Anolis sagrei: one gene and its partner. The protein of the gene in region 1 interacts with the protein of each later gene in a biochemical or structural test. Links are inferred from orthologs where the notes say so. Each region holds a gene or a part of one and is shown on either strand. Other genes may lie near its edges.

Evidence for each region.
Region 2: the proteins of NUP85 (region 1) and NUP43 form a complex in vitro, tested with the Homo sapiens proteins (2 studies listed by BioGRID). The link is inferred for Anolis sagrei from reciprocal best matches to the Homo sapiens genes NUP85 and NUP43.

What each region holds. Positions count from the first base shown.
Region 1 is NC_090022.1:117,259,260-117,268,643, reverse strand, and holds the start of NUP85 (nuclear pore complex protein Nup85), read right to left. Parts: upstream 4,267-9,384; 5' UTR 4,172-4,266; coding exon 4,139-4,171; intron 2,405-4,138; coding exon 2,311-2,404; intron 1-2,310. UniProt on the Homo sapiens protein: Essential component of the nuclear pore complex (NPC) that seems to be required for NPC assembly and maintenance. As part of the NPC Nup107-160 subcomplex plays a role in RNA export and in tethering NUP96/Nup98 and NUP153 to the nucleus.
Region 2 is NC_090021.1:73,296,013-73,305,661, reverse strand, and holds the start of NUP43 (nucleoporin Nup43), read right to left. Parts: upstream 3,816-9,649; 5' UTR 3,788-3,815; coding exon 3,668-3,787; intron 2,438-3,667; coding exon 2,315-2,437; intron 2,174-2,314; coding exon 2,096-2,173; intron 695-2,095; coding exon 526-694; intron 11-525; coding exon 1-10. Other genes in the region: PCMT1 (protein-L-isoaspartate(D-aspartate) O-methyltransferase), read left to right, coding at 8,524-8,806. UniProt on the Homo sapiens protein: Component of the Nup107-160 subcomplex of the nuclear pore complex (NPC). The Nup107-160 subcomplex is required for the assembly of a functional NPC.

The DNA of each region.
Region 1 (9,384 bases):
ATTATTATGAGGCCTGCCAGTTAACAAGATTGATAGAATTAGATTTTGATGATTCAAGAAGATGGGCCAGAACTGAAAAAACAATTAATGGATGGGATCATTGTTTGTGCTTAAAAGGGTGGATGGACAATAAAACTCTAACAGAAATTAAAGGGGGGCCAATGATATCATCCTTGGAGTGCTGGAAAAAATGGCAAGGTAAATTCCCAATAAATAAAGTAGATATACTCCCAGTAGGATTTCTAGACAATAAAAAAGAACAGATATTTGGCAAAGTGATAACAAATGTGAAACAAAATGGAATGAAATTGATAAAAGATCTCCTAAACCCAGATGGGACCATTAAGGATTGGGAGACGATAAAGGAAAAATGTGGTCAATGTAACTGGCTCCTTTGGAATGGATTGGAACAAAGGATCATGAAGTGGAGGAAAAAGGAAAGCCCAGACACAGATTTTGATCGAATTTTAAAGTGGAAACTAGAAAAGGAGAAAGGCCTGGAGGGGTCCATATACAAAAAATTAGTTGGAATTCAATATAATTTGAAACAAGCATTGGTAGAAATATGGAAAGAGGATATAAATAACAATGATTCAGACACTGAACACTGGATCAAATCAATCAAAAATATCAAGTATATAAAGATTAGAGAAACACAAAGGAAAATACTAACTAAATAGTATAGAACCCCAATTAAACTAGCTCACATAACTAAAATAACCGCAAAATTGTGTTGGCACAGATGTCGAAAAATTGGCTCCTATATACATATGTGGTGGGAATGCGACAAAGTACAAGATTTTTATAATAAGGTAAAGAAGGAAATGGAAGAATTAATAGGGCATAAATTGGTTTTGAATAAAAAAAGAATGTTTCACCCAGATATCAGACAAGAACAAAAACATCAAAGCTTGGGGGGAAATTATAAAATATATGATAGTTGCCACCCAAGCAACTGTGGCCTTGGGGTGGAAAGAACATAGAAAGTGGGAAGTTAAAAATGGTATGGTTACCTAGATTTTATGCTTCAGGACTACATCTCTGAAAGAAGAGCCAAAGATACATCATGCCGAATCAAAAAGACCTGGGTTCAGAAATGGGGAAGACTGATAGAAAAGGTCAAAGGAAAAGAAAGATATAAAGAGCTGAACCATTCTCTTTCCACGATTGTTCAATTAAAATAATATTTGAATGAATACAAGTACTGTTCCCAGGGGGTGGGGGGAGTAGTAGAGGGGTGTAAAATCAATAGAAACAAGTGGGAGATAAAGGTGGAATAGATAAGAATAAGAACACTATGAAAACAATATTTGATATATATTCGGAAATGGTGATGAATTGTGATATCATTCTACCTGTGTCTGCAATAAAAACATCTATTTAAAAAAGAGATAAACTTAATAAAGCAATAACATTGTTTTGCCTTGTATTCAGACAAGATGGAGGTGCTGTGATGAGTGGTTCCCATACCTATACTCAGGGGTGTGTGCCTGCATTCACTGAAATTGTTTGAATCCCCACTGAGCTCAGTAATTAGGAGCTTCAGATAATTCAACCTGATCATGGTGGTTCAGAAACTGGTAACCGCAAATCAGATTACTGCAATGCCTCCTATGTAAGTCAACCATTCAAAATGCTTCAGACGTTGCAGCTGGTGCAGAATGCAGCTGCTCACTGACTGACAAGAAAGGGTGATCAACTGGACACAAGGGATGCACTCAAGGATTCATACTGGTTGCTAATGTGCAACTTGGTCAAATTCAAGAGTTTGATGTTTTTGTTTAAGTCATAAGAAAACAACTTGGAACCAAAATACTTAAAGGACTTAATTTCAATGGATATTTTGTGAAGTTCTGTTTGGGAACTCTACAAAAGCAGCTCTTGAGGATCGTTAATGGAGTTCTTCATACAATTATTCATCTACTGAAGAAAGCTTATACGGTATATCTCCAGTTGCATTGTGAGTGATGTCCCAAAAAGTTTCCCATCCAGGTATGGATCATATTGAGCCTATCTAGTTTCAGAGACTAGGGCCCCTTCCACACAGCTGTATAAAATCTACATTGAACTGGATTATATGGCAGTGTGGGCTCAGATAACCCAGTTCAAAGCAGATATTGTGGATTATCTGCCTTTATATTCGGGGTTATATGGCTGTGTGAAAGGGACCTAGATATCCCTTTGAACCAGAAAGCCCATCAAATCTTATTGCAAGCAAAAAAGAAAATACAGCTCACCATTGCAATGTATTTGCTATCATGAATTTGTAAAACACAACAAAAGCTTGTAAGATAGTAACATAATGCCAACCTGCAGATCTAAACAAGGTTTCACACACCAGCATCTCCCCAGGTCCCCACGAAAAGCATAACTGTTTCTTGTCTGAGTTTACTCCAGGAATCAGCTGTTTTTCAAAGAAAATGAGAGGATAGCACAGGGAAACATAGTGACATAGGATATTTACATACAAAAATATACTTTTCAAAAGTACTGGAAATACATACATGGTGGAAACAAAATCAGAAAAGAGGGAAGTACTGTGGTGGCACAGCGGGTTAAACAACTGAGTGGCTGAACTTGCTGACCGAAAGGTTGCAGGTTCGAATCTGGGGAGTGGGGTAAGCTCCCACTGTAAGCCCCAGCTTCTTCATGATGATGGTGGTTGTTGTTGTTGAAGGAGGAAGCCTCCTGGAAGGCTAATGGCTCCAATAGTTTCCCACTACTGTAGATGCAGACATTTACAAGGCTAGCTGGCACAAGCACACACAGGTCTGAATTAAACTAACTTAATTTATGAAGGGAAACATTTATATCCCTTATTGTAAACTGTTTCTATATGTTGTACACCGCCGTGAGTCGCCCTAGGGCTGAGAACGGCGGTCAACAAATGCAGTAAATAAATAAATAAATAAATAATATCCCAACATAAAATTATTTTCCTGTCATTCACTATCTGCCTTGGGGTATGGTGGAAGCTCCTTTTTGGTGGCTATTTGTCAGGGATATTTTGATTGTGCTTTTCCTACATGGGAGGGGGTGGACTAGATGGCCCATGCGGTCTCTTCCAACTCTATCTTTCTATGATTATATTAAACTGTGTCCATCATAGTACTGATGTTGTTTGACAGCACTATAACTGCTCTGGCTCAATGCCAGGGAGTCCTGGGAGTTGTAGCTTTACAAGGCCTCCAGCCTTCTCTGCCAAAGAGGACTGGTGCATCAGCAAACTACAATTCCCAGGATCCCACAGCATTGAGCCTTGGCAGTCAAAGTGGTGTCAAACTGCCTGAACTCTACAGTGTAGATGCATCCATTATTTCTTCTGTTGTTACTGTGAAAGGGCCCCTTGGTGGCACAGCAGGTTAAGCCACTGAGCAGCTGAACTTGCTGACCAAAAGGTTGGCGTTTCAAATCCAGGGAGCGGGGTGAGCTCCCACGTTTAAGCCCAGCTTCTGCCAACCTAGCAGTCTGAAAACATGCAAATATTAGTAGATCAATAGGTACTGCTTCGACAGGAAGGTAATGGCGCTTCATGCAGTCATGCTGACCTTGGAGGCATCTATGGACAACGCCTGCTCTTTGGTTTAGAAATGGAGATGAGCACGACTAGGCTTTATGTCAGGGGAAAACTTTTACCTTTACCTTACCATGAAATTTCCAATGCATCATAATTGCCTGCCACATTTCATGAGTGCTTACTTGCTTGTTGTGTGAGTGATCCTTTGATTCCTTTTCCCAATTGTCAGGGTTTAGAAGGATATTCCAAAGTTGGGAGTACCTTGGTTTTGTCCTCATTTCATCCCTTGAGTCAGCATGAAACATTCCTATCAATTCATTGTTACTTCAACTATTAGTATTATTATTGTTATCATCATTTTCAGCCCAGAAGTTTCCTTAAAAACTCTGTCTCAAAGGGGATCTATACCACAGAATTTAATGCAGTTTGACATGACTTCAACTGCCATGGCTCAGTGCTATGGCAACCCTGGGATTTGTAGTTTGGGGAGGCCCCAGCACTGTTCGGCAGAGGCGGCTAAAGACCCTAAGAAAAGACACTTCCCAGGATTCCACAGCAGTGACACGCCCGTTAAAGTGGTGTCCCACTGCATGCACTTATCCCGCAGGCCCCGCTCCGCACCGTGACCGTGGGCTCCTCGTCCACCTCCTCCATCGCTCTCCTTCCCGGCCGCCTGCCTTCGCGCTTCTCCGCCGCTCAAGCCTTCCTCCCTCTCGCGAGGAGGCTTGGAAAGCAGCCAGCCAATCGCCGTCCTTCTCGGTCAGCCGCGCGCACATTGACGTAAGGACGTTCTCCGCCGCGCAAGCGCATTCTTCCCTCTCCCCGTTCCTGCCCAGAGAGGTAGGAAAAAATATAGACCTATTCACACTATTCCTTTGATATTCCCCTTCTTTCTTCCTCGGGAAGGTGTGACCGTATAGATATGGACCCTTTCTTTCCCCGCCGTTGAGGCTGTCTTCCAAATTGCCTGTTAGAATTATACTTCTCAGATTCTTGAAACGAAGTTCCCAAGGCTAATTTTCTCCTCATACCGTGAAAAACAGGAGAAGGGGAACCGGCACGGTCCCTTCTAAAATAGCTTCGGTTCGATACATGCAGTTCCTTAGAATCAGGCACTCGGCTAGTCGACAAAATAAAAGGACCCCCACCTTTTATTCAGAAAGCTGCATGTAATGCTCATTTCAAGATCGGTCCATCTGTATCTCTAGAGCAGTGGTTCTCAACCTGTAGGTCCCCAGGTGTTTTGGCCTGCAACTCCCAGAAATCCCAGTCAATTTATCACCTGTTAGGATTTCAGGGAGTTGAAGGCCAAAACACCTGGGGACCCACAGGTTGAGAACCACTGGACTAGAGGGTCCCCAGGCAGCAACCAGCCAAGCTTTGAAGCTGCAAGGCCATTAAATTATCATTGTTCTTGCAGCCACTGAATTCTACGCATGCCATGAGTTGCCAAAAAGCCGATTACATGGGCAAATCAAGTCTGAACTCTCTCCAGAAGTCAAGACGGCTGAACACACTGAATATCGTAAAGGCAGCAGATTCTGTCTGATGTTTACTTACTTTCCTGATTTCAGAGTTTTTTTAATACTGGTGGCCAGATCTTGTTCATTTTCGTGGCTATTATCCACATGCTTGTGGATTTCAGTGGCTGCAAGGCCATTAAATTATCATTTCATGGCCTTGCAGCTTCAAAGCTTGGCTGGTTGCTGCCTGGGGGATCCTTTGTTGGGAGGTATTAGCTGGCCCTGATTCATTCTTGCCTGAAATTCCCCTGGTTTTTTTTTTTTTTTTAGTGTTGCTTTTTATTTATTGTCCTGATCCATGTCATACTACACAGAGCAACACTAAAAACAAACAAACAAACAAAAACGGGAATTCCGGGCAAGAATGAATCAGGGCCAGCTAATACCTCCCAAGATAGGATCCCCCAGGCAGCAACCAGCTAAGCTTTGAAGCTGCAGGGCCATTAAATAATTAAGGTGGCCAATTGCAGCATTCACACTGGCCTCAAACAGACAAGAGTTCTTTCTCCCACCCTGGACACTCCACAGATATATAAACCTCACTTGCCTAATTTCCAATAGACGTCATAGCCGCTGAGGATGCCTGCCATAGACGTGGGCAAAATTTCAGAAGGGAATGCTTCTGGAACATGGGCATACAGCCCGGAAAACTCACAGCAACCCAGTGATTCTGACCATTAAAGCCTTTGACAACACAAAGTAAATATAATAAGTATCTGAAGTTTTTTTGGATTTAAAAGGCAAAATCTTCATAAGGCAAAATCTCACAGGAAGAGGATTTTGCTACAGGCGGTTGCTAATAAAACTCCTCCGGTCTGCATGATCAGAGTCCAGTTGCCTCCCTCATTAGAAACCATATCCTAAATTATTTTTTCTGTTTTTGTAGTAACTTAAAACTTAAGTCAACCATTCAGAAATACCGTAGATTTTAAAGCATTAAAGGAAAAGATAATGCAAACTCAGTAAATTCACTGATGGGTGTATAAATATTGTCGTTATTGTTAACTCAGTACATTTAAGAATTCTAGGTGTTCTAGATTTACCTACTAGAATTTTTGGAAAGGAAGGAACATTTTATTGAGGCTGAAACATTTGGAGGAACAATGCCCTCATCCTCCATCTCATAGCTGTGTCAGTTTATCACACTACAGAGTTAAAATTAAATAAAGAGGTGGAATATTTCAACTACCGTATTTTCTGGTGTATAAGACTCCTTTTAAATCCAAAAAAACTTCTCAAAAAGTCAGGGGTCATCTTATACACCGGGAGTCATCTTATAGAGCGGGTGCTGAAACTTCCAATCCAGATTGGAGAATCTGTGGTTGCCGCATATGGGGGGGGGGGGGGGGCTCAAAAATGGCAGTAGCTGCGTCCCTGTCTTATGCAGCGACTGTATGAACGCATTAAGGGCGACGCTGTACAAGTACAGTAGAAGAAAATACATTCATCAGGATTCGTGGACTTAATGTGGTCCCAATGGTGAGGTGAAGGGGCACCTCACCGGGAAGATGTAAGTGAAGGGCAGAGCAAGCTGCAGGCGTCCAGGGTGCCCGGGGTATGGAAAAAAGTGATAGAGTGGCTCTGGGCCCAGAAAAACACAACTCTTTTACCTGTCTGGCTCGCCCTTGTATCCTATTATCGTACCAGTCCTCTGCCTCTCAGATCTCGCTCCTGAAGACTGCAGTGAAGTGCGCATGTGCAAGATCTGAGAGGCAGAGAAGGAGATACAGTAATAGGAAAATTACCATATTGAAATTGAATCTGATTTTTAAATTTTTATTTGGTGTGCATTGGAAGACAGGTAGTCTTATACAGTGAGTATATCCCAAACTCTATATTTTAACTGGAAAAGTTGGGGGTCGTCTTATATGCCCAGTCGTCTTATATGTTGGAAAATACGATACATCATAAAATGTGTCCTGTCAGGTGATGCAATTATTTCGGGGTGTGTTTGGCTGCCCCTAAGCCTCCCATGCATAACACAAACATCAATAGGGAATCCTCCTTTTACTGGATTTTAACACACTAGTTACCAAGAGAGAGAGAGAGAGAGAGAGAGAGATTCAACCATTGTATGAAAGCAATGCAAGAAAAGTGACAACTTTAAATGCCTTTTGTCTTCATTAATAGAAGATAGTTTCTTGCATTAGATTGAATAAGATTGTCCTACTTCAGTGCTGATGAGACACAATTCTTATAGCTAATCAAATGCCTACACAGCATTAGAGGAAAGAGAACACGTTGTGGGCACATCAACACTGCAGAAATAATGCAGTTTGTCACCACTTTAACTGCCATGGCTCAGTGTTATAGAATAATCAGAATTGTAGTTTTACAAGGTCTTTAGCCTTCTCTGTAAACTGCCCTGAGTCCCTTCAGGGAGAGAGGGCAGGTTATAAATATATTATTATTATTATTATTATTATTATTAATAATAATATTATTATTATGCCAAAGAGTGCTGGGGATCTCACCCAACTACAACTTCCATTGTTCTATAGCTTTCAGTCTTGGCAGTGAAAGTGATGTCAAACTACATTATTTTTACAGTATGTGCACCCTGTGAAATAAGGCTCATAGAGGCTGGCAAATCAGAAGTTCCATATCCCTGCTTTACAATAAAGTTAATTATAATGTACTTCTTTTCAACATGCTAGAACTTCAGCCATTCATCAATGCTGATTAGCAGTAGGTGGAGGTCTGAGAGTTAATTCATATATAATTAGCTTATGAGCCTGTGATATTAGTTTAGACAGCTTTCTAACAGGATTGCTTGTAATCTCCCTAAGATATTTCATACATGGTTGATGAAAGTCATAAGATTAATTTAATGCACTGTGGTCTTGGTGAACAATGCAGTACATCACTGCACTTTAAGTTCACTTTAACTGCTTGTTGATAAAATAATTCAGGTAGAGATTGGTGTATTTATAGGCCCCATTTTGATCAAGTGTCTCCTACTTCCTGGAATTCTGGTCTCTGAGTCATAATCTGAATTAGTCAAGACATTTGTCATTGGAAAAATCAGACATAGTCCATTAATAATTTGACACGTTTCCCTAGATGTTTAAAACAATTAAATTATACACCTTTACACTTCACAATCTTGTCTAGTTTTCTCACAGTTGCCCTTCTCACACCCAGGGTGCGTCTACTCTGTAGAATTAATGCAGTTTGACCCCACTTTGCCATGGCTCAATACTGTAGAATCAATCTTGGGAGCTGAAGCTTGGTGGTGTCACTGAACTAGAGCAATTTAGAATGGCTGCGAATAGTGAGATAGCTGATAGCAAAACCTGAAATGTGGATAACTGAAATGTGGAGTCCTAATAAGTGGATACTGGTACCTGCTGCAGGTTGCCCTGTTAGTCTGTGTGCCTGGCAAGTGAAGCTCAACGTTCCTGAAGAAAGCTCACCAAGTTGAAGAAGCCACTGAGGTATTTTATTCAATCAGCTGAAAGTGATGCCAACTTGTGGTTATCTGCCAAAGTAAGCTGAGACACCATTACGGTGAACAGCAGACTTTTTTATACAATACAGTGTTTTGAAATTCCTGCACCTGCCCCAGATGGGCCAGCACCACCATAATTGACTGAGCTCTGATGACACCAGGGAGGATTCCCTGCAGAGGTTGGACTGTGGCATCCACTGGCCAATGGAAGAGTATTCCCTGCTTCCAATGCAGCTGGAGCACTCTCCAATTGTTGGCAGGGGAAACTCCAAAAAAGGAAGATATAGTTTTATGATTGGATTACCTTGTCCCAACATCAGGGACAAACAATGTGGGCGCTTGGGTCCCATGAGTTTTATTGTCTTGGTGATTGTTTTTATGAACCCCGACCTCACGGGCTGATGACTCTGCACCAGTGTCCTTTATATTTCCAAACAGCAAATATTGTTCATGATAATAGGATTATGAACCCATTCCTGAGAAAGGGGCGATGTCATTGTGGAAAACAGGGCATGATTCTCTCCCCATCGGGAGCTGCCATGCCAGGTGATTAGTGTCTTTTGAAATGTCCATGTGGTTGTACAATAAACAGGTGGTCCATCTCCGAAGCCTGTTATCTTTGCACAGCCAGTGGTATGGGTCATAGATGATGGGTGATTGAGTCCATTGTCTTAGGTGATGACTGGAAAAAATGGCTAGAAAGAGTTCCCAGGTCAAGAGGTGCTGATGAAAGGTCACCAAGGTCATGCTGAGTGGCTTCAGTCTCCAAAGTTTTCATCTATCTATCTATCTATCTATCTATCTATCTATCTATCTATCTCCTTTTATTTTTGGGAAGATCAAGACAAGAAACAACTTTGTTTCACAATAACATATAAATAAAATGCACTCAG
Region 2 (9,649 bases), on another chromosome or scaffold:
TCAGCATTGTCTGAGAAATTAAAAGAGACACTCATATCAGTCCTTTTGATTTAAAGCATGCTAGAATTAGTGCAGTAAACAAATAAGCAACTGTAAGGTTATGCCAACTATGTGCCATATACATTTTGAAAATTCAGAGTCCAAAGCTTAAGAGACTCTTAAGGGGAATGCTGATGTTGATTTACCTATTAGATAATACTGTTTACAACTTTGGGAACTGATAGCATTCTCTAAGGAACTCTAACTGGATACGGTTTACAGATATCTAGCAAAGAACTTTCTGTACTTCAGCAAAGAGATAGGGCAGGAGACCTGATCCACCATGTTCAAAAAAGTGTTTTTCATATTACTGGTGTCATATAAATTCACTTTAAAATATTGATACTTCAGGCATGCTACAATAACTTCCCAGGTAAAGACAAATGATTTTATTTTTCCTGCATTTAAGGGGTTCTGCACTGAAGGCTACAACACTATGTTGGAATAATAGTTTAGAACTTTAGTACAGGCATCTTAACTGCCTACCTACAGTACGCACAGCTTCCTTCCGGTCCACTGTGAATACATTTATCCTCCCATCTTCACCAACTGTAAAAATTTCAGGGCTGTTGCAGACAATCCCGGTGCAGGGTGCATTTCCATGAGATGGGTCATAGAAATGTGCATTTTCCCATTTTTGGCTTACAGATAGAGTCTGAAAAACCAAAGAAAAACAATGAAAATGGGCATGTGGAAAAAATGTAATGACCAAGACTTAGAAGAGAGAGACACTGAGAGAGAAAGAGAGTCACGAACACCAGTATTTCCTCCTTGCCTGAATTTGAAGAGGAGACTGTGGGACCCCATGGGAGCTGCCAAAATGGCCTGGGGTGCCTTGTAGCTGGAATCTCAGACAAAGGCAGTAAAAGATGACCTGTGTACAAATGATACTTGTATTCCTAATTATAAAGACAGCCCCACAAACTATCAGGATAATCACTTAAAGGAGCAACCTGAACAAGCAGCCCCAAAGTAGTACCTCAGACTTATCTTGATTGAATTCAATATAGGTTGAGTATCCCTTACTCAAAATGTTTTAGATCTGTTGTTGTTTGCAAATATGTAATGAGATCTTGATGGAACCCCAACCTAAATATGAATTTTACTTATGTGATACATACATCTTATACACACAGCCTGAAGGTAATTCTATATACAAATGTTTTAAATGATGCGCATGAAACAAAGTGCATGTACACTGAACCATCAGAAAGCAAATGTGTCACTATCTCAGCTATGGATAAAGATTATTTTAGATCCTGGATTTCAGAATTTCAGATAAGGGGTGTTCAACCTGTGCTGGCCCTAATTCAGCCCTGCAGCCAGCCACTGATGAAACACATCCACTGATGAAAAAGGAAATGGAGCTGGACATCATCCTTAAATCACTTTAAATCTCTAGATGACCTCACACAACAGTTTCACACAAATGTTGCCTAATCTCAGAAGCTTAGCATAGTTAGGAATGATTAGCACTTGAATAGAGAGGCCAACAGGTATTTCCAGATAGGGCTGGGAGAAATACGCACCTGCAGGGTTGCTGCCAGTTAGTGTTCACAATACTGGGCTAGATCAACTAATTTATATGACAGTGTTATCTGCTCCCTGTGTAATGCAGTGTAATAAAGAAAATGTAGCCCAGAGGAACCTCAAAGCACAAATGCTATGCAAGTGACAAGAAATCCCTCAATATGACCTTTAAAAAATAGCAATCTAAATACAAGCAAAGCCATTGAAAATCTGTATCTCCTACACACAACTTCTCAAAAAAAGATAACAGCACCAATGGCAATTAAAGCTGCTGAGTGATCCAGAAAAATGAATGGAGTCACATTGTTATTGTCTCTCCTGTGGTGGTGGAGAGATAGAAGCAGTTTTATTCACTAGACTAAGCAACTGAAATAGATCTGGAAAAGCCATTTAATATAAGAATATCTTGCTGTGACCTACTTGATCACCTTGCCCACAAACCAACTTTTTTCTGCCTTGTGTTTTCTTGAGAGCAAGGTAATTTTTTGTACAACAGAATAGATGTAAGCAAACCTGATTAATTTACCTGATTATTTTGATGGTGCCGAAAAACAGTCACACTTCCAGTGGATGAAGCAGCTACAATTCTTTCCTGGTCCAAAAACTAAGGACAAAATATTCAGATATGAATTTGTATTGAAATAAAGTATCAAACAGAACCAGTGTCCCATTTATACTGTGTAACTTTAGTGACATCAATAACACAGTGCTTGGAAAGCTTTAAAGTCATTTTATAGCCTTTTACCTGCATATCCATAACATCGCCACTATGTTGAATATCACACAAAAGATGCGGTTCTGCGTTATATTCTCCATTTGTGTTCAAACTTCCCAAGTCTCCAACAGACCAAAAAGACACCTTATTTTCCTATAAGATTACCAAGAGAGAGAGAGAGAATAACAAAAAAGAAAAACAACCAGGATAAGGAAAAGTTACTGCATATGAATCATAGAGTTAGAAGACATCTTGTGGGACATCCAGTCCAACCCCCTGCCAAGAAGCAGGAAATCACATTCAAAGCACCCTCTCCCCCCACCCAGCCTCTGTTTAAAAGCCCCCAAAGAAGGAGCCACAACCACACTCTGGGCCAGAGAGTTCCACTGCTGAACAGCTCTTACAGTTAGGAAATTCTTTCTAATGTTCAGGTGAAATCTCCTTTCCTGTAGTTTGAAGCCATTGTTCCGCGTCCTAGTCTCCAGGGCAGCAGAAAACAAGCTTGCTCCCTCCTCCCTATGACTTGCCCTCATATATTTATACATGGTCATCATGTCTCATCTCATCCTTCTCTTCTGGATGCAAAACATGCCCAGCTTTTTAAGCCGCTTCTCAAAGGGTTTGTTCTCCAGACCCTTAATCATTTTAGTCACCCTCCTCTGGACACACTATTCCAGATGGAATACCAAGGCAGAATAGAGGGGTAGCATGACTTCCCTGGATCTAGACCAGGGGTCCTCAAACTAAGGCCCAGGGGCCGGATACAGCCCTCCAAGGTGATTTACCTGGCCCTCGCTCAGGGTCTGAAACTACTTGAAAGCAAACAACAACAACAACAACAACAACAACCCTATCACATCAGCCAAAAGCAGGCTCACAACTTCCCATTGAAATACTAATGAGTTTATATTTGTTAAAATTGTTCTTCATTTTAATTATTGTATTGTATTGTTTTAAAGTGTTTTTTGCACTACAAAGTGTGCATAGGAATTTATTCATGTTTTTCCCCCCAAATTATAATCCGACCCTCCAACAGTTTGAGGGACTGTCACCTGGCCCTCTGTTTAAAAAGTTTGAGGACGCCTGATCTAGACACTATACTAGAATGGCCTAAACCAGGCATGGGCAAACTTGGGCTCTCCAGGTGTTTTGGACTTCGACTCCCACAATTCCTCGCAGCCTGAGGCTGCGAGGAATTGTGGGAGTCGAAGTCCAAAACACCTGGAGGGCCCAAGTTTGCTTATGCCTCTTCTATATTACAGAATTAATGCATTGGCCCACTTTAATTGCCATGTCTCGGTGCTATGGATTCATGGGAGTTGTAGTTCGGTGAAGGCCCGACCTCTCCCATGGCCTTGCCAAGCTCCACCTCCCAGGCCTCACCTCGTTGTCCCAGGATCCCGTGGCGAAGACCTCCGGGGGCTGGAGGGCAGCGGGAGGGAGGGGCCGCCAGCGGGTCTTGCTGACTTTCTGGGAGACATATCGGGCCAAGACCTCCTCCATGCTTCGCCGCCAGAGACAAGCTCCTTCCTTCCTTCCCGCCGCAGCCGAGGCCCTCCCCCCGGCTTGCATGCGCCCCTTTCCTATTGGACGGCGAGCACCACGTGAGACGGCAACCCACAAAGGTCAATACTCTCTACTGGGAAGGCTGCTGGAACGGACTTTGTTGGCTGTGTTGTCGCAGGCTTTCATGGTCGGAATCAATGGGTTGCTGTGAGTTTTCCGGGCTGTGTGGATATGTTCCAGAAGCATTCTCTCCTGACTTTAATGTCCAGGGTGGGAGAAAGAACTCTTGCCTGCTTGAGGCAAGTGTGAATGTTGCAATTGGCCACTTTGATTAGCATTTAATGGCCTTGCAGCTTCAAAGCCGGTCTGGTTGCTGCCTGGGGATCCTTTGTTGGGAGGTGTTAGTTGGCTCTGATTGATTCTTGTCTGGAATTCCCCTGTTTTTTGAATGTTGCTTTTTATTCACTGTCCTGATTTTTTAAAATAGTGGTAGCCAGATTTTGTTCATTTTCATGGTTTCCTCCATTCTGTTGAAATTGTCCACATGCTTGTGGATTTCAGTAGCTTCTCAGTGTAATCTAACATGGTAGATGTTAGTAGTCCAGCATTTCTGTGTTCTCAAATAATATGCTGTGTCCATGCTGGTTTCTTCAGGAGAGAATGCTTCTGGAACATGGCCATACAGCTTGGAAAACTCACAGCAACCCAGACTCTGTTGGTGTTTTCACCAATTAAGTCTATTCGGAAAGACCAAAACGACAAGGGCTGCAACTACACTGCAGATTTCATGCAGTTTACCTGTCATGAATGACTCAATGCTATGGCATACTGACTGTGAAATGTAGAAGGGAAATAAATTAGAGAGGAGAGGGGTGCAGGAGCCACAAAGGAGGTAATAGAGAAGATGAGCAAGTCAAGAAATAAAGTCTGTTTTTGGACGAGGCCCCATCTATACTGCCATATAACCCAGTTTGAACTGCATTATAATGGTCAGTGTGCACTCCTATAATGCAGATTGAACCACATCGAACTGGAGTCTACGCTGCCATATAATCCAGTTCAATGAAGTTAATCTGCATTCTGAAACTAGATTATATGGCAGTGTGGATAGGGCCATGGACTAACAAGTGGGATGAATGGGAGCTTCTTGGGACTGGCAAAGGCCTTTATGGCATAGTCATATCTGTCCCAATTTGGCAGGAAGGGTCTCGTTTAATTCTATGCTGTCCCATTTTTCTAGCATATTTTTAAGAAGTTTCTCTTTTTTCCCCAGACAGCCACTTAATCCAGAGTTAGGAAGTGGGATTAAAATCTGGTTACCTTAAAGAGAGTCCACACATGAAGTCATTAGTCCTTGGAAATGGTCTCGTGGTGCCCAGAAAGGTTTGGCTAACGTGGAAGCAAGGGAACCGCCAAAGCTACAGGAGAGCTGCCAAAAGTTCTTTCACCTTTTTTTGTTAATGACTCTCTGAGATATGCTGCTCCTCATAAGCATTTTGCCAATAGTTATGAGTGCTAATGCGCTGATGTGGATATAACAAGGTGTACACAAGCAGATTTCTTGTCATCGGGAGAGTTCTTTCCTGAACATGGCCATACAGCCTGGAAAACCCACCGCAACCCAATGATTCCTGCCATGAAAGCCTTCGACAACACATTGTCATTGTCCCTCCTCACCCTCCTGGTGCCTTTAAGTTTGCTCTCTTGAACACTGTTTCCCTTTGGGGTCACTAAGATTACTGTATGACGCGAATTGTATGTGCACCCTAATTTTGGCACGGTAATTTAGCCCAAAAAGGTGAGTGTTAAGACTCAAGTAAATATGGTACAGTATATGCAAAGTTAGGTTTCCATTTGAGAAGAGGTTGTTCTCTACAGATACATAGATACATACATATGTTGCACTTGTTTCCTAAACATAAATCACATTTCCCGAGTTCCCCAAGTGATACTTGGAGCAGCCTTTTATGCAGTACCACAAATTTGTTGTTGTTTATTCGTTCAATCATTTGACTCTCCATGACCTCATGGACCAGGCCTCACCAGAGTTTCCTGTCGGCCGTCACTACCTCCAGCTCCTTCAGAGTCAAGCCAGTCACTTCAAGGATACCATCAATCCATCTTGCCTTTGATCGACCCCTCTTCCTTTTTCTTTCATTTTTCTCCAGGATCATTATCTTTCCTGTCTTCTCATTATGTGGCCAAAGTAGCATACTTCATCTTTGCCTCTAATATCCTTCCCTCCAGAGAGCAGTATGGACTGTTTTGATCATCTTGAGGTCCAAGGCACTCTCAGAATTTTTCCTCCAGCACCAGTACCACAAATACACTACCTATGTTGTGCCATGTCAATGCGGTGTTTGGGAATTGGTTTTTGGGAATTGGAGCCCAAAACACCTGGAGGGCCAAAGTTTGCCCATGGTTGGTATACAGGATAATGTTTAAAATGAGATCTGCAAGTTGGCAACCATTTGAACCCCTTGCATAAAATTATAATTTAATTCAAAATTTAGGTTATGGTTATATATATTTTTCTCTACAGGCCAAATGCATATGTGGGCTCTACATCTGGGACATACAGGGTTTAAGCTTCAAATAACCACTTTAGCTACTATAGTAGAGTCTCACTTATCCAACCTTCACGCATCCAACGCTCTGTATTATCTAATGCAGTCTGCCTAATGCCTGGATCCACAGCTGTTTCAATACATTGCGATGTTTTGGTGCTAAATTCGTAAATACAGTAATTAAAACATAACGTTAGCGTGTATTGAACTGCTTTTTCTGTCGATTTGTTGTAAAACATGGTGTTTTGGTACTTAACTTGGAAAATCATAACATAATTTGACATTTAATAAGCTTTTCCTTAATCCTTCTTTATTATCCAACATTTTTGCTTATCCAACATTCCACTGACCTGTTTATATTACATGTAATATTACAGTATAGTGGTATAGTACAATATAGTAATATATAATGCTAATTTTGTGCTATGCTAATAATATATTGTATACACATATAATATTAATATTATAATGTAATGCAATATAACACTACTACTAATAACAATACAATATAATAATGATATATATTGCATCAAATATTACAGTATGGTGGTATAGTACAATATAGTAATATATAATGCTAATTTTGTGCTATGCTAATAATATAATATATTGTATGTACAAATAACTTGTAAGCCACTCTGAGTCCCCTTCGGGGCAGGGTATACATGTAGTAAATAAATAAATAAAAAGCAAGACTCTATTGTAATACTGTTTCAGAATGCAGATCAACTGCATTGAACTGGATTACATGGCAGCGTAGACTCATATAATCCAGTTCGGTGCAAATAATCTGCATTCTGAAACTACATTATATGGCATAACAACAACAACAACTTTATTTTTATACCCCGCCAACCATCTCCCTGTGGGGACTTAGGGTGGCTTACAAGGGACAAGCCCAACAATTACAAATAAAACACAATCAATTAAAAACATAAGATAACATATGAAAACAATCACAATTGAAAACAACAAGGGTTTTCATTTCATTTATTATCAAGTGCAACAATCAAGTAGACAGGGCTGGGAATAGTGGCATCAAAAGTGTTGAGGTAGGCTGCTAAAAGGGCAGGTGTAAAGTGCTGAACTTAACGTAGGGACAGGGAAAATTACTGGTGGACTGCCTAATCAAAAGCACACCGGAACACCCAGGTTTTTAGTTGTGTCTGGAAAGAGGACAAAGTAGGAGCCTGTCTGATCTCCCTAGGGAGGGAGTTCCAGGGTCTGGGAGTCACCATCGAGAAGGCCCTCTCCCTCGTCCCCACCAACTGTGTTTGAGACAGCAGAGGGAGAGAGAGTAGTGCCTCCCTGGATGATGTCAAGGTGCGCGCTGGTTCATAGAGGAAGATGCAATCGTGGAGATAAGCAGGTCCCGAACCGTTTAGGGCCGTGTTTCTCAACCTGGCGTCCCCAGATGTTTTTGGCCTACAATTCCCAGAAATCCTAACAGCTGGTGAACTGGCTGGGATTTCTGGGAGTTGTAGGCCAAAAACATCTGGGGACCCAAGGTTGAGAAGCACTGGTTTAGGGCTTTATAGGTAATAACCTGCACCTTGAATTGGGACCGGAAACTTATTGGAAGCCAGTGGAGCTGTTTAAACAGGGGGGTGGATTGCTCCCTGTAACCAGCTCCTATAAGTAGTATGGCCGCAGATCTTTGGACCAACTGTAGCTTCCGGGCCGTCTTCAAGGGCAACCCCACGTAGAGCGTGTTGCAGTAATCCAATCTAGAGGTGCCTGGGACATGGACCACCATGGCCAAATCAGATTTAACTTCGTTTGTATACCGCCCTATCTCCCCAAAGGGACTCAAGGCGGGTTCCAACATATAAGGCAAAACATTCCATTGCCAAGAAGTTAATCATTCAGACAGATTAAAATAAAAGCAGCATCAAACACACAAATCCTACTAAAACACAACAATAAGACTCTACTAAGGGCACACATTATTTGGGGGGGGGGGCACCTATATTTAGTTAGGGATCAAGAGCCCCCTTCAAAGACTCTCCCTCCTTCACTTCAGCTCCTTCATCTCCCTCATGTGGTCTGCGAAGGCGCCCCCCGCGCTGTGTTTCCCCGCCAGCTCCTTTGGCGCTCCCCTCTGCGCCTGCGCACACCGGCGGCAGCGGCGGGGGCGGCGGGTGCCCGTCGCGAGGGCCGTTGAGAATGTGGCGCGCGCGGGGGGGCGAGGGAACGGCCCTTCCCTCCGGCGGGCGCGCGGCGGTAGCAGCAGCAGCAACAGCGGCGGCGAGGAGGGGAGGGAGGGCGGCGGCGGAGGAGGAGGAGGCGGCGCCTGTCTCGGCGCTGGAGGTTGTGTCCTTCCTGGGCAAGCTCCTGTGCGCAGTCGCGGCGCTGAAGGCGGCTCTCTACCTGCTCCGCAGAATCTGCCTCGCCATGGCCTGGAAGTCAGGAGGCGCCAGCCACTCCGAGCTCATCCACAACCTCCGCAGTGAGTGAGCGAGCGAGCGAGCGAGCGAGTGCGCGCGCGCCCGGCCCGCCCGCCTGTCTATAGGGATCTCTGTGTGGGTGTCCGCGTGCGCGCTGGCCTCCTGAAGGGGGCGGGGGAGGGAGGGAGAGAAAGAAGGGAGTGGGAGATTGAGAGGAGGGCTGGGGGAAGGAGGGAGTGGCTAGGGCGCGCGCCGGCCATTCATAGGCCATTAGCGCGCGAGCACACACACACACACACACATATATATATACTTCCCCGCGCGCGCGCGCACTTCTCGCACGCGCCACTCCCCCCCCCTCGCCAAAAAAAAAAAACGTCGCTAGGGAGTAGCTGTTGCGTCGTCGGCCCTCGCCTTGGAGGCAGTTGGAGATCGAACGCGGGGGAAAGTGCGCGCGGGGGAGCGGGGGGGGGGGGAGAGGAGCTTTTTCTTCCTCCTCAGGAAAGGGCGCACGCGCAGGCACCCAGCTCATTTTTATCGAGGACCTCGTCAGTGTTGTTGTTATTATGGATGCCTTCAAAGGAAGAGTCGAGGGAATCCGTGGAATTCGTGGATACAGAGAGCTAAATAGACATATATATTATATAGTGGTCGGGGTTTCTAAATGACAACCCCCCCCCCCCAGACTGGGGATAATGGGAATTGCAGCCCAGCAGCCCTTATGGCTCTGAGGCTGTGGGGAAAGGGTCAAAGGACCAAGGCATTGACATCATCGGCCCATCCTCTGTTCGGATATCAGTCACCATGACGCCTTAAATCAAGAAACAGCTTCCTAAGATCGAGAGAGATTCGTGCAATAACACCTCAGCAAGCGAGAGTCCAAAAGTGGCAGGCTAAAACCCAGC